2 linked regions of the Lonchura striata genome follow. The protein of the gene in region 2 purifies or fractionates together with the protein of the main gene of each other region. This does not show direct contact. Links are inferred from orthologs where the notes say so. Each region holds a gene or a part of one and is shown on either strand. Other genes may lie near its edges.

Evidence for each region. The genes of interacting proteins can lie anywhere in the genome.
Region 1: the proteins of SIRT1 (region 2) and FOXO1 purify together in Homo sapiens (affinity purification with western blotting; 5 studies listed by BioGRID and IntAct, with this or other methods). This does not show direct contact. The link is inferred for Lonchura striata from reciprocal best matches to the Homo sapiens genes SIRT1 and FOXO1.

The regions. Positions count from the first base shown.
Region 1 is NC_134604.1:63,789,291-63,796,275, reverse strand, and holds the start of FOXO1 (forkhead box protein O1), read right to left. Parts: upstream 3,003-6,985; 5' UTR 2,988-3,002; coding exon 2,382-2,987; intron 1-2,381. UniProt on the Homo sapiens protein: Transcription factor that is the main target of insulin signaling and regulates metabolic homeostasis in response to oxidative stress.
Region 2 is NC_134609.1:35,338,483-35,345,944, forward strand, and holds the start of SIRT1 (NAD-dependent protein deacetylase sirtuin-1), read right to left. Parts: upstream 3,060-7,462; 5' UTR 2,114-3,059; intron 1,223-2,113; 5' UTR 1,194-1,222; coding exon 981-1,193; intron 1-980. UniProt on the Homo sapiens protein: NAD-dependent protein deacetylase that links transcriptional regulation directly to intracellular energetics and participates in the coordination of several separated cellular functions such as cell cycle, response to DNA damage, metabolism, apoptosis and autophagy.

The DNA.
Region 1 (6,985 bases), on a different chromosome or scaffold from region 2:
TGGAGCGATGTTCCTCCTCTGCAGGGCCCTCGGCTGACTCAGGCTTCGCTCCCAGCCCTACGCCTACAGCAGGTCCCCAGACCACGGGCAAACCAACGGCTCCCAAGCTGGAAAAAAATAAAAGTAATCCTCACTCACACTGAGCCGTGGAGAATTGGTGATAAATACGGCAAACGAGCTGCACGCCTCAGCCAGGCCATTTATAGCATTGACACCCAGTGGCTGCTGGTAACTCAACTTGAAAGTGTGTTAAAGAAACTCTGCACTTCCTTGGCTTAAGCGGTAAAACCTGCAAGTATGCAACTTTCAGAGCAGCCTGGCAGTTATGCAGCCAAAAGGATGGGGGCATAACACGGTGACTATTTAATTATGGAAGGAGAGTCCATGTGTATTTACCCAAAAGCAGCAGCAGGCTATGTACTGCGCTCTACCAGAGGGTACTGCAGCCAAAAAACATGCCAGTAGCAGCTCTCCCTGTGACAGCAGAGGGATGTGGGCATGGGATGTGCTCAGTCTGTTAGAGGGAGGTGTGCGAGACTTCTTCCTTGCTGAAGCACCACGGGACAAGCAGCAATAAAATAGGAAGCGCCAAGTAAGTTACACAGCTATCAGTGTTTCTTACTTGCTCGCCTGAATTTGGGAGCTATTTGATTTTATTTTGGTTTGTTTGGCTTTTAGTTCTCCTCTACTCATTCTGAAAAGGCACTTAAGGAGACTAAAATACCACTGGAAAAAAAAAAGCAGCACTTTCAAGTGACAAGTTACCTTATTTAAAAGCTGTTAGCTATCAATCACTTCGCTCCTATTAAAGTTTTTCATGACAGATGTCTTCAGACAATTATCCTTTAAATTTTTTAGTCAAACACATCGGTAGAAACTAACAAACTACTTTCAAAAGCCCTAAAACTTTCAGCTAAAAATGAATTACAGATCAATCTGCATTTCCTTAGCAGGATGTTGCTTACCTCTGAAAAAAATAGAAATTTACGAAAAAACTGATGTAACAAACATTCCTAGCAGCGCAATTAAAAATACATAAATGCAGGATTTGAGTTGACACTTTTTTCTAAAAAAGAGATAGATAATACAAATACTAAAAGGCGAAGCAAAGAGTTTGATTGGCCCTAACTGGAACTAAATCCCGAACACACCAGAGTGCGCCGATGCCGTGCTAGGTGCTCGCACCTCACGCCATTTACTGCCATCATTTAATCCCTCGCAGGGCGGCGGAGGCTGTGCCTGTACGCAGACGGCACAAGCTTCTTCTGACAATGCTCTCACGCAAGTGTCACAAAACTCGGCGCTGCCTCCGCCGCGCACGGGGACACGGCTTGGTGACACTTTCTCGGCGGAGGCCTCGGAGAGATAGGATTCACTGGCAGCAGCGCTCAGCCTTAGCCTTTATCACCCACGGGGATGCAAAGCTGGAGGGTACTATGCGGCTGGCGCTGCCACCGGGGCCGCACAGGCCCAAGCGCAGCTTCGCCTGGCTCGCCCCGCAGCTGTCGGGGGGCGGCCAGTGCCCGAGGGCTCCCCGGGACCTGGCGAGCGCGTCCCTCGGAGATCCCACCGGGGGCTCCAGGCAGCACCGGCTGCGGCTCCGGCCGGCGCGGGCTCAGCACAAATCCCGGCCGCCAACAGGTTGCTCCGCTCAGACGGCAGGACTGCGCTGCGGGAGAGAGGGAGCTCCGTCCCACCACGTAATACAAGAACGGCGCTCCCGCCACTCAAGTTTAACAAAGCCATCACGTCAAATACTGCGGCTTACTCATTAAACACAAGGTATTTCTGCAACCCTTGTTCTGCCTCCGCTCTTTCCCCATCCCTGTTTGCCTCTGTCCTCGCTCCACCGCCCGACGGCAAAGCCCTGCAGCACCAGGGTAGACGGCGGCACGGACCGGCCGCGTTCCGGGGCCGGGCAGCGCCGGGGCCGCGGCGGAGCTCCCGCGGCACCCCCGGCACACGGGTGCTTACCCCGGGCCCGCCGGCCGCCCCGGGCAGCAGGAGGCGGCGCCGCTCCTGCCGGCTTTGCCCGGGGACGGCGCCGTGACACCGCGTGAACTTTTGCTTTCGGCGGGGCAGGGCTGGGGGAGGCGGAGAGCGGGGGGGGCGGCCCCGGTCCCTCCAGCGCCCCAGCGGCGGGAGGCCAAGAACGCTTTTCTCCCTTAGGAGTTCTCCCTTTGGAAAGGTGAAAAAAATAAAAAAGAAATGTGAGGTCAAACTGAAAGCGCGGAGCCGGAGCACTGCAGGCTGCGCAGCGGGCATCACGCCGCCGGCGGGGCGGCGTGCCCAGCCGCCTGCAGCGCCGCGGCTGTGCCCGGGACGGCAGAGCCTCCCGGGACCCCCCGCCGACGGGGCGTCCCCCACCACCCGCCTCTTACCTTCCAGCCGGCCGAGCTGTTGCTGTCGCCCTTATCCTTGAAGTAAGGGACGCTCTTGACCATCCACTCGTAGATCTGGGAGAGGGTGAGCCGCTTCTCGGGGGAGCTCTCGATGGCCTTGGTGATGAGGTCTGCGTAGGACAGGTTGCCCCACGCGTTGCGCCGCGACGAGCTGCTCTTGCGGGGCTGCCCAGGCACGGGGCCCGGTGACAGACCGGCCACAGGCGGCGGCACCGGTGGCACCGGCGGCGGTCCCGGCGGGTGGAGGCGGCAGCCGGCCTCGGGCGCCGGGAAGTCCCCGCAGCGGCAGGCGGCAGCCTCCGGGGGGGCGGCGGCGGGGGGCAGCGGCGCGAAGTCCTCGCTCTCCTCTAGCAGGCTGAGGTTGCTGATGAAGTCGGCGCTCAGCGGTCCCGAGGTGGCGGCCCCGGCCCCGGCCGCGGCTCCGGCCGCCCCATCGGGCTGCCCGCCGCACGACGGCGCCGGGCTGGAAGTGGCCGAGCTGGGGGTGTTGAACTCCGGCCGCGGCAGAGGCCAGGTGCAGGAGCGCGGCCGTGGCAGCGGCTCGAAGTCGGGGTCGATGTCCACCAGCTGCGGTGCTTCGGCCATGGCGGGGCCGGGGCGGGAGCGCGGCGGGAGCGGGGCGGCTTGGGCTCAGCGCCGCCGCCCCATGCAGGCTCCGGGAGCGGATCGGCGCGGCCCCGACGGCGCTACCGCCGACTCTCCTGGCCCCGCCGCCCTGGACCTCCGGCCTGACCTCCCGGCCCCGTCGCCCTAAACCCTGCCCCTGCCCGGCTCCCTGCCCTCCGCGGCAACTGCAGCAGCAGCAGCGACCCGGCCGCCCGGCGCGCACCGACTGGAGCGACCGCCCCGCGCGGGCCCGCCTCCAGTCTCCCTCCTCCTCCTCCTCCTCCTCCTCCCGGCGGGGAGGGACGGCCCGCGCCGCGCCAATGGCAGCGCCGCGCCGCCGCCCGCCTCCCGCCGCGGGGCTGCTCCGGCAGGAGGGTGCCGGTGCCCCCCGTGCTGCTTCTGGGTGGTTTTTGTTTCCCGGCAGCGCAGCGGGGAGGGAAGGGGCGAGCGGGCGGGCGGCGGTGCCCCCCGCGGCCGGGGCTGCCCAAAGGCAGCCAGTGCTCGCACGGCGAGCCGCGGAGGGTGGCCACGGAAAATTCCCCCGCGAGTGTTTCTACCTCAGTCGCTGCCGGCGGGGTCCTGCCGCCCGCATCGACGGGCCCGGTGCGTGTCGCCGCCGGGGATGAGCGGGGAGCCGGGAGCATCCCTCGGCTGCAGCGGGGCGGCTGCGGGAGTGCGCGGAGCGGGGGCCGTCTCCCCGCTCCCGCGGCATCCCGGCAGCGCTGGCTCCGCGCGGAGCGCTGCTGCCGCCCGGCTGCCCGCCCCGCGGGAGCCCTGGCAGCCCCGCATGCCGGACCGGGGCTGCGACAGCTGCCCTGCCTCGCTCCCCTCTCCTCCCTCCTTCCCCGGCCGGCTCCTCGCCAAAAAGTGTCGGCACCTCCCGAAGCGATAAATCTCCCTTTCGGCTGAGCATGTTTTCATGCCGTGAGCTGGTGTTTTATTCCGTGATCAAGCACGGAGCACGGGATAATTTCATCCTAAGTCAACTATTGAACATACTTTTTATTTTTCCCGGCAAACCCCAGGGTTACTCAATTCATTGAGGTTTATATTCTTCCCTTTCAATGAGGCAACAGTCACAGGACACATCGCCTCTGCCTCCCCTGCCCATCAACTATACGAAGATATATATATATATATATATATATATATATATATATATATATATATATATATATATATATATATGTTCAACATAACACAGAAGTGTTATTCTGTTTAAAGTTAAAAAGAAGACATTTTCTTGAACTACGGAAATAATCCCAAGGATGAGACATGACTCAACACCTTGTTCAAACTGGCAAAGCCTACATTTTAGAAAATCTGTTTTGTTTTCAATAGCAGGAGTGCTTTTAAAAAACATACTTCAGACATGGCTTCATAAGTCACAAAATTCACAACCAGCCATGGCATTTGACGTTGCATGTCATTGAACCACCATAGCTGGGTAACTGTCAAAGCTGAGCCAGAAAACCTGTTACCCTTCCCTCCTTTCTGCATCAAGGCAGAAAGTGTTAATGTTATTTAAATGCAGTTCATTGTTCCTATAAAAATATTTTCTGAAAATGAGTAACAATAATGAAGGGAAGAGAATACAAGACTGGCTTTAGGCCACGGCATGTAATTTACTGTCAGATCATACATCTAGATACTCATGCTGTCTATTATGAAAATGCTTTTTAAGATACGTGGTGACACCTAACTATATAGTTTGTGCAAAATATACATAAGTGCATAGTAACTGATCACATTTTAAAGCACTGGTTTTGTCATGTTTATTTTACCAAATGCCAAAGGTGATTATACCTTATTATAGGTTGGCTGCTCATCAGATTTTGGAGTTGCTTTGCCTTTAAGTAATTTCTATGTTTTGTTAATCCTTTAAAGGATTCAACCCACAAATTTATATTGCTTAGCCCATGGATTTTAGAAAACACCTTTTTTCAGGCTTTTTTTTTTTTTTTCAGTTTAAGAAAAAAAAGAAGGAAAATAAAAGAAAGCAAAGCAGTCCCAGTTCAACCTAATAACTTGCATGCCACGTTTCAGCTTGGAACAGCTTTATGTGGCAGTGTTACACAACTCAGCTGCAGTAGTTGCCCTGCAATAAGGGAGAGCACCCTGCCTTGGAGAAGCAGAGGTTATATAATGGTGAGAAGCAGCCAGGGACGCGCAGCGAATGGATGTGTTTAAATGGGAGCCAAAACAAAAGAAGTGCTTGAGAACACAGAAACATATTCTTTTTCTTTCCTTGGTGTCTGAAAAAAAATAAAAGGGGGGTCTAAGAGCCAGATTGGCACCCATCCTGCGAAAGGAAGTGGATTTATTACCCAGGCTTTCTTCTAAGGAGTTTTTTTAATCTTGCAGTCCTTGCTCTTCTATTTTGTCCAAAGTAGAGATGTTATTCCCTGAACTCTATTGGAATATGCAGATGTTTAAAAAAAAAAAGCTTCCCTTTGTCAGATGCCAACTGTGAAAACCGGGAGGAAAGCTACTTTTTGGGAATTTCAGGAAGCCCTGGTGCATTTGTAGTTCAGCCCAGGTCATTCTGCAGGATAGAGGTTGTATTCCTCTTTCTTGGCCCTACATGACATTTCTGTCACTGCCCTCACCTTCTTGGCAGGGCTCTGCCACCTTTGTGCCCCATGTCACTGATGTTCTTGCAGCTCAGAAGTTAACAGTGAATACAGAGACTGCAGACAGCAGCTTGAAGTGAGATGTGAGGGACATGGAGGTGGAGAAGATAATACCAGAAACTTCCAAATGCTGCAGTTGCTCAGCAAGTGGGGCCCCGTGACTCACAACGCAACAGGCAGAGCTGAGCTGCAGAGATTTTGGCTATCACAGGCCAACAGCTGGGACTAGGTCTGCTGAGGGTTGAAGGAAGGATGAAGGCCAATGAGACAATACTGTGCACTTCTCTGGGATGAGTAATCCTGGTAGTTTGCTCTGACTTTGGCAGAACCACCCAGGTGAATGAGTTCTTCTGTTGGGCCCCAGTGTGATCAGCCACTTTTTAGAATATCTTCACACTTGTCAAGAATTTGGGGTTTGAATCAACAGATTTTAGAGTCAAAGCAACACATGCCATGCACAATAAAAGTGTCTAACCCTGTCTGCACTGCTCTCCTAGTGCACTCCAACACTGCTGACCACCCTTAGGCAATGTCATGTGAACAATCCCACCCATTCAGCTGCTGAGGGGAGCTTCCTGCTCCTAAAACAGCTCAGCATAGTGATGCCTCGGTACAAGAAATTTTACTGCATCTACAAATGACAGCATTAGGTTTATCTCATCTCCCACAATTCTGAAAGGCTGATGGATGCACCACAATTCATTTTCTACTCCCACCCTCCTCCTCCTACACTCCACCTTTTCATTTCTCTACTCCTACTCCTGCTCCCATTTTCTACTCCTCTACAATACAATATCTCCTATCAACCTTAACATCAGCTTGTATTTTTTTTCGAATTTAAGACCTGAACATTGCCTTTTATCATCACTGAAATAAAGCAGAGCCTTCTATTCATATTCTGGGTTTGAAGCAGCCAAAATAAAGGATCTGTGCTGTCTTTTTACTACTGTCTGTATAATTCACGTTCTGAGGTTTTGATCAAATTCTGCAGGAGATTACATGAAGTTGAAAGCACTCATACTCTATGTACAGCTCTTTTTTTCTACACGTATGTGCACAGTGAGAGAGTACAAATGTTTTTACAGCATGAAAAGCAACAATGAAATACCCAGTTGTGTCCGGTATCATCAGAGCTGGGAGAAATCCTATTTTCTGAGCAAGGATGAGGAAGTTCAGTACCCCCAGTTTCCTCCCCTGAACCTCAGAGGGGACATGATTTGCAGTGCATGTTTCTGAGCAGCCCAAGTTACCAGAGGGCTGGCACAGCACCTCAGTCACCTCCCCTCCCAGCCCAGGGTAGCTGAGGGCCACCCCACACAGAAGGGTTTGGGCATGCCCTGGCTG
Region 2 (7,462 bases):
ACTGGAAGTTTTGTAAGATGTGAACAAAAATTTAGAGCATTATTGCATTAAATTTAATTATTAATTGTTCACAGATCTGCCAACTCAGGCTTAGAAATGTTGGTTGATATTTTAAATTTTTTTTACATGCTAACACACTAACAGAATAGTCTTGCTTTTAAAAAAATATATTCTTACTTCTGAAGAATAAACCCCTTTTGATAAAAGTTGTTTATCAATAAACACTGCTTATCAAAGCATTGTAGTAGTCAATAAGGACTGAAATCATTGTCTCAGACTACCCCAAAATAGCATGGGAAGAGGAACAGGTGTGTGCAAGTATGGAAAGAGCAAGACTGGGAGTAGCAGTGCTCTTCTAAAAGCTGATTTGAATTACTCATCTGATCTGGATCGTATCATACCATCTGTGTGTGAACAACAGAAACAAGAAATGATCTGGTGCACAGGTACAGAGCTGCAAATGTGCTGCAGCTCAGAAATGTTCTTTAGTCAAAGAGTGAGTAGTTTTATCAGCACCACAGAGCACCACGTGCTGAAAGTAACATTCAGTCTGCTGAAATCTGACCAAACTGTCCTTATGATCATCCTCCTCCTCCCCCCCAACTCTTTTCAAATCCTCTTCTTCCAGTCCCTCAAGCTCCATCTGGGATTTTAAGAGATCCACTGAGATTCTGCTTTAAAACAAAAGACTAGGATAGAAAAAGTTCTGGACAGATAATGTGTTCTTATTCCAAAACTGTTTTGCATGGGAGCAGCTGTTTACAAGTTTCTGTGTCTAAGAATATTTGGTTCTGAGAAGAAAGATGTGTGATTTCCAATGGAAGCTGCAGTCCTTGCAGTGGACTGGACTCTTCCCCCGACAGCTGTTGGCAGATTTACTGCAGGGTTTGCAACCTCTTGTTCCCATCCCTGCAAGCTGTACTGAAGTACTGAACCAACCTGGCTCCACATTTTCACACCGTCATTGCAGCAATACCTACCCCAGCTCCAGTCAAGACCATGATCTTCTTGCACTCCTGCAAAAGTTTCACAGCATCATCAATGGTGTTGATATCTTTCCTCTTCTTCCTTTTTGGTGGCTCTGAAAGGATGTTTATCACGATTTGCCACAGAGTCATGTCATCCAGTTCAGGTGGGGGGATCGTTTCTGGTAGCAGGTCCTTCAGAATCATCCGTGGGTCTGTACCTAACATGAGATGCTGCTGAACAAAAGTGTAGGGACCTAAGAAAATTTAAAAATACAGATATTTAAAACAGAGTTAGGTACTACAAATTATCATGGTTATTGTTCCATTTATTAATCCTTACTAGTACAGTTTCATTAATCCAATTTAATGCTCCATTTATCAAACCCCCTGTATTTTGATCTAAAAGTGAGAGCTGGGCATTTTATTTATATATCATTATTTTATGTTAACCCATGAAGGATTTCATAGAAAGTCGGTCAAGTGAAAATCCCAGTTCACAGCAAAGTTAACCTCTTTTAGAGGTGCAACAGGATTTTCACAATGTGCCTCCATCTGTACTTTCCCAACATTCAGTATTTACAGGAATAAGCTGACAACAAACAAACAACAAACATACATATATTTTCCAGAGATATTATAAACCATCACTCTAACCAGACACATAGAGACCAGAAATCCATGATTTTTGTTGGTTTTTTGGTCATTTAACACAAATTATTTCAGACATTACCTCCTCAAGCCATTAAATCAATCTTTCCAGAAACACTTGAGATGAGGGCTCACTGTCCTAAAATCATACAGGGATCATCTTCTTGTCCCTTAAAGAATTAATACTAAGTAGGCAAGCTATAGAAACATGCCATAAATTAGTCTAATTTAGTGAACCTGTGTGTATGCTTTTCATAGGAATTGTGGCAGGATTTATATTCAAGAAAAAATTAAGACATTGACAATTTTAATCAAAATACAGCAAGTTTCAAGGTTCATTTTTAAACTCCTTAAATAACATACAGAATACAGTCAACACTCTAAGCTGTTCAGAGGCACTAACTGCCAATATTTTTGCAACAGGAAAAATAACTTGAACACTAGGGAGTGATTGTTCAAAGGCAAAGAGCATCCAAGATCATGCTCCAGGCTTTTACCTATACGTGGCCTTGGGGTCCAGTCACTGGAACTTGCATGGGAGGCTCTGTCTTCCTCATCACTGTCACAGGAGTGAAAGCCATTGGCTATGATTTCTTCGCTGAGGAGGAAGTTATCTGCAAGACAGCATGAGCATGGGGTTACACTCCAGCCCAAGGGCACAGTGCATCTTCAAACTGATCACAAAAACAAAAATCACACAGTCAGAAGCTTTGTCACTTAGGCACAGAAAATGTCTATTTCTCTTCACATTTAGAGATGGACTTCCAAGATGTTGGTAGATTTACTGCAGGGTTTGCACCTCAGTGCTGGGCTTCAGGGGGACTGGATGCTGACCTTGGTGAAATCTTGTTCTCTAAAGTGTTGGGCATTATGGGTATTTCACCATAGAAATAATCCAAATGTTTTAAAAGTATAACTGAAAACGTCTTTCCCTTTCCCACTGCATTCAGTTCATTCAAAAACTGGGTAAAATGAAAACATGTCACCAGTGCAGACAGATCTTTGACTAGGTTTTAAGAGCATTTAACAACATTTTGAAAGAAACCCACAAATGCACATTTGCTACAACAAATTCACAGGATTTGGTGAGGATGTTACCTTGCAGCTCGGCTGTATTGCTGACCACATACACAATTTATGATATTTCAGTTGTGACACAGAACATGCTCCCCTGTACCACCTTCACTAAGTTTCTCTCGTCCATTTGGCCCTGCAGCTGGGCCTGGCTCAAAGTGCCAGAGTCACCTCAGCTCAGCCCGTGGCTTTAAGCCAGAGTAACTCAATCTAACTCCATCTCAGACCTCGATGAGTGAGCCCAGGGCAGAACAAGAACAATTTGTGTTACTGAGCTCACGTTGAAGGGGAAATCTAAATTCCAGCCTGAGCAGCTTATTAGAACATAGACTACTCAACAACCTTTTTTACTGGCTTCATTAGAAATAGCCTCAGCACCTGTAGCTTCATTTGCTGAAAATCTATGGACAAAGAACAAATTTCACTCATGCTCTGTAAAGCAAAGAATCACTGACGTAGTTCTCATTCTCGTCTGAAGAACTGAAGAACCCCCTGCACTGTTTTAGCTGTTATTCCGCTCGATTCTCAAATAAAGAACACCACTAAACACCATCATTTTTTATTCAGAGGTTGTGTTGTCCTTCTCCTTGTTAGCATAAATTTTTGATTTGACTTTATTTTTGATTAGAAAATAAAGATCAATGACAGAAATTTGTTGTTGGTCCTTGCTGTCTTGTTCTTCTGAGGCCACAGGTGCTGATGGACATTACTATTTCCTATTAATCTACTTATTTACAGCATTTCAGTTCCATCATGTTATGCATGAAGTCAGTGAACATTGAGAATTTTGGAGAAGGAAAAAGTGCATTAGTACACATCAGTAACCGCGAGGTACAAGTTTAACTTGAGCGACCTTTATGGCTTCTGTATCAAGAAGCAAAATTTACATTGTGAAAGGCTCCTCACAGGCAGGGCATAGGGCCTGGGATTCAGGAAACGCTGACAGATACAAGAAGGATAAAGTAACAGTTCAAACTGTAACACTCCCTGAGTATTCCTCAAAGGACCAGAGGGGATAATGCAGGCCAGAACTAAGCCAGCCACAGCAAAACACCTGAGGCTCGGAGGGACCTGAGCAAAAGGCTTTGTGTAAGGCACTAGTAACAGATCATTGGCTTGGCTGTCAGCTGTTCTAGTGGAGATTTTAAATACTGAGGCTGTTCCAGGTTTACTCTATACCTGTTCCTTTTGTACTGCTTTTGCACAGACATTTGCTACAGAGTTGAAGTACCTCTAACGGCATTCCAAGATAAAATGTAAAGACTATACTGGCAGAATCCAGTGTCTGATAAATTTTAATAAGTCTTTCCAAAGCACTGCTTTAAAAAAAAAAAAAAAAAAAAAAGGCAAGCCAAAATTAACAACTCAAACAAAACAGAACTCAAACCTGATCAGTGTGCACTGTGAGGTACTTTCACAGTGATGCTGATGCTGCCCACCAGTAAATATCTGAAAGAAACTTTTTAGGAAAAGAGAGGATACTGCACCCCGTATCCTCTGAGATCTAGCTTAGTTTTGTGCTGCAGTCACTGAAACCTTAGCCAAGACTGTCACTTGCAGTTCTTTAAAGAACTAGTCAAGACTGCTGCTGCTGAGCCTATGTGCAAGTTTCTAAGGATCAGAAATAAAATAATTAACGCGGCAGAGATTGCGAAAAGGAAACCGGGCTTATATTTGTTCATTTTTAATAACTTGCTGCCAGCAACACAGCAGAATAGATGTTTTCAGGGCTGAGAGCCGAGCCGCTGCCCTGGCCGGCGGGGCCGGGCCGGTGACACGGCGCCCCTGCGACACGCGGGGGCGGCGCTGTGCGGGGAGGAGGGAGCCGCGGAGGAGGGGAGGGAGGGGAGAAGGGAGGGGTCGCTCCTCACCGGGATGCGGGGCCGGCACCGCGGCCGCCCCGTTCGAACACTGCGCCCGCCCGCAGCCCGGGGCCGCCTCCGCCGCGTCTTCGCCGGGCGCCGCCTCCGCGCCCTCCCCCTGATCCCGCCGCGGAGGCGGCTCCGCCCGGGGCAGGCCCCGCAGCCCGGCCCCGCCGTCCGCGCCGCTCCGCGCCGCCGCCGCCTCGCCGCCGTCCTCCCGCTCCGCCCGGCCGCCATCGAACCCCGCGGCCGCCGTCTCCCCCGGCGGCTCCGCGGGCACGGCGGCGAGGGGCGCGGGCGGCGGCCCCGCGGCGCGGTCGGGGCGCGGGGCGGGCGCGGCGCTCCCCGATCCGCGGCGGTGCCGCTTGGCCGCGGGCTCGGCGCCGTCGCTGCCGGGGCCGGCGGGGCCGCGCGGGCGGAGCGGCGCAGCGTCCCCGTCCGCCATCTTGGCGCCGCCGCAGCCGCCGCCCCCCTCGCGCCCGGCCCCCCCCGCCCGCCGCGGGCAGCGCCGCCGCACGTGACCGCGGCACGTGACCGCGCCACAACAAACCGGGGCACGTGACCGGCGGCGCTGCCGGCGTCACGTGGCGCTCGTGCCGCCTCGCGCCCCCTCCCTCGGGCGGCCCCGCCGGCCCCGCCGGCCCCGGGCCCTCCCGTCCTTCCCGGCCCTCCCGTCCTTACCGACCCTCCCGTCCCTTCCCGTCCCTTCCCGAGCCTGCCCCGAGCCTGCTCCCCGCCCTCCTGTCCCTCCTGTCCCTCCCGTCCCTTGCCGCCCCGGCCCTGTGCCGCTCGCCCCCGCCCCTGCCGAGGGAGCGCCCCGGCACCGCGGGGTCCGGCAGGGATGCTGTGGGGCATCGCCCCGTGTCCTCCGGGAAAACACATCAGCCCCACCCGAGATCCTGCATCGCGGTACTTGAGCTCCCGGGATGCAGGGGCTTGTTTGGGGGGGGCAGCACCTGTCTAAATCACTGCTGCTTTAGGAATGGAACCTGCGTGGTGTAGGAGAGGCCTGATGGTAAGCGGCGAGAGTTGGGATTTGTTCGAATAACAAAAACACAAATCCATTGTGTTTCCCGTGCTGCGCGGGAGTGGGCGCGGCTGGTCTCCCTGCTGTCCCGGGGATCTCTCGTTCCCTGGAGTGCAGGAGCAGCCCTTAGAGCCCCACCTGGGCGCTGCAGCCAACAGGACCGTGCCACGCGTGGGCTTCCCATGGCAGAGTTCCCTTCCGCCTTGGAGGTTGGACTGGATAGAACTCAGCCTTCTTCCCAGAACTGCCACCAACACAGAATTTTGGTCTAAACTTCATGGATAGAAATGTAAATGCTGCTTTGTTGTTACTGTTCAACATCACGAGCTATTTGCAGGATAGTATTAGTGGCTTTAATACAATGGAATTCCTAACTTTAGTGGCAAGACCCAGGTTACAGAGGTAGAATTTCTCCCTTGCAGGCCTTGCTAACCAACAGCTTTTAAAAAAACCTTGGGATTAAAAATGTTGATACATGTGGCTTCAAAGGGATTATTTTATGGATAATTAACTTTATAGGTAGTCTTTGTTGGGGGAGAGAGGTTTGGGGATCTTTTCTGGTTCTTTAAGGTATTAAAAACCCTGAAAAATACGTACATACTGGTTTTTCCCACTACCTGCTTCTCAAAACAAGCTGCAGAGTAATCAGATCAGAAAGTTTTTATTATTCTATGCAACTTTGTGTGCAAGCGTTCTTTTTCCTTCTTGCCTCTGGAAGCTGAGGCGAGATCTGTATTTCTTAAAAAACACATGCAAGATGCATTTGTCAGCATATAAAGGGGAGGTGGGGATGTAAGATTGGTTTGGTGGTTATTTTTGTGAAGACAGTTCTAAGGAAGAAATAATCCAAGTGATGCAGAGGTAGTATCTGAGGTTTCTGTGGAGGTACCGGTGAGGGAGTGGCTCAGGGATCCTAAAGCCACCTCTGATCCTGCAGACATTGCTCCACGTCAGCGATGGTGCTGCAGGAGTTACCTTCTTGTGGGAGGTCAGTTTGGCAGTACTTGGGTCCTCTGCTGTTTCTGCAGCTCTGAGCTTCTGTGAGAACAAGGATGGGGCACACCATGCAAAACTCAAATGAATTGTATGGTGCCTTGGACTTCTCATAAATGTGTTCTCTGCCCTCAGGAAGCAAAACCTCTGAAGTCAGTTGAGAAGAACTGGTCCTGGAAGATTTTATGTATTTTACAGGAATAAATTCAAATAGAGATTTCCAGACCTTACTGTTTTATTTCAATGGTTATTTATGACTTTTACAGGTTGTTGGTAAATGTCCTGTTACATTGGAGCAGGATTTAGATTCACTCTAGGCTCTAAACAAACAGAATTGTCAATATGTGTTAGGACTGAGAGACACCTTTTGTTGGTGGTTGGGTACAGAGAACAAATATGAGATTTCCTCACTTCCAGAACAGTTTGTACATCCTGAGCAACACTAACCACGGCATGTGTCTGTGCCATCTCCTGCGCTGCAATTCCCTTTTAAATGAACTTTATGTCCCAGAGCATATCTTTGTAATTTTTTTGTGTAATACACGTGGCTGCTCTTGCACTCCTTTTTGATGATGCCTTGGGAGTTGCCCCTCAGAAGTCAATAGGAGCAGTGAAAGGCTGAGTTCTTGTTCAGTGTATTTTGTGTTCTCCAGACACGAACCTGCACTGGGAGCCTTTGTGCCTCGAGGGGTGAGTGTGGGCACTGCTGCAGTTCGGTCAGAGCCGTGCTGTGTGTGGCAGAGGAGTCCAGGCGGGGCTGAGGCTCCAGGGAGCACATTCCCAGGGAATACCCAGCTGCCAGGTTTGTCACTGCAGTGCAGCCCTTGGACCTGCAGCTGCCCAGCAGCACAGAAATAGCCACTGAAAGCTGGAGGGGAAAAGAGTTAAAG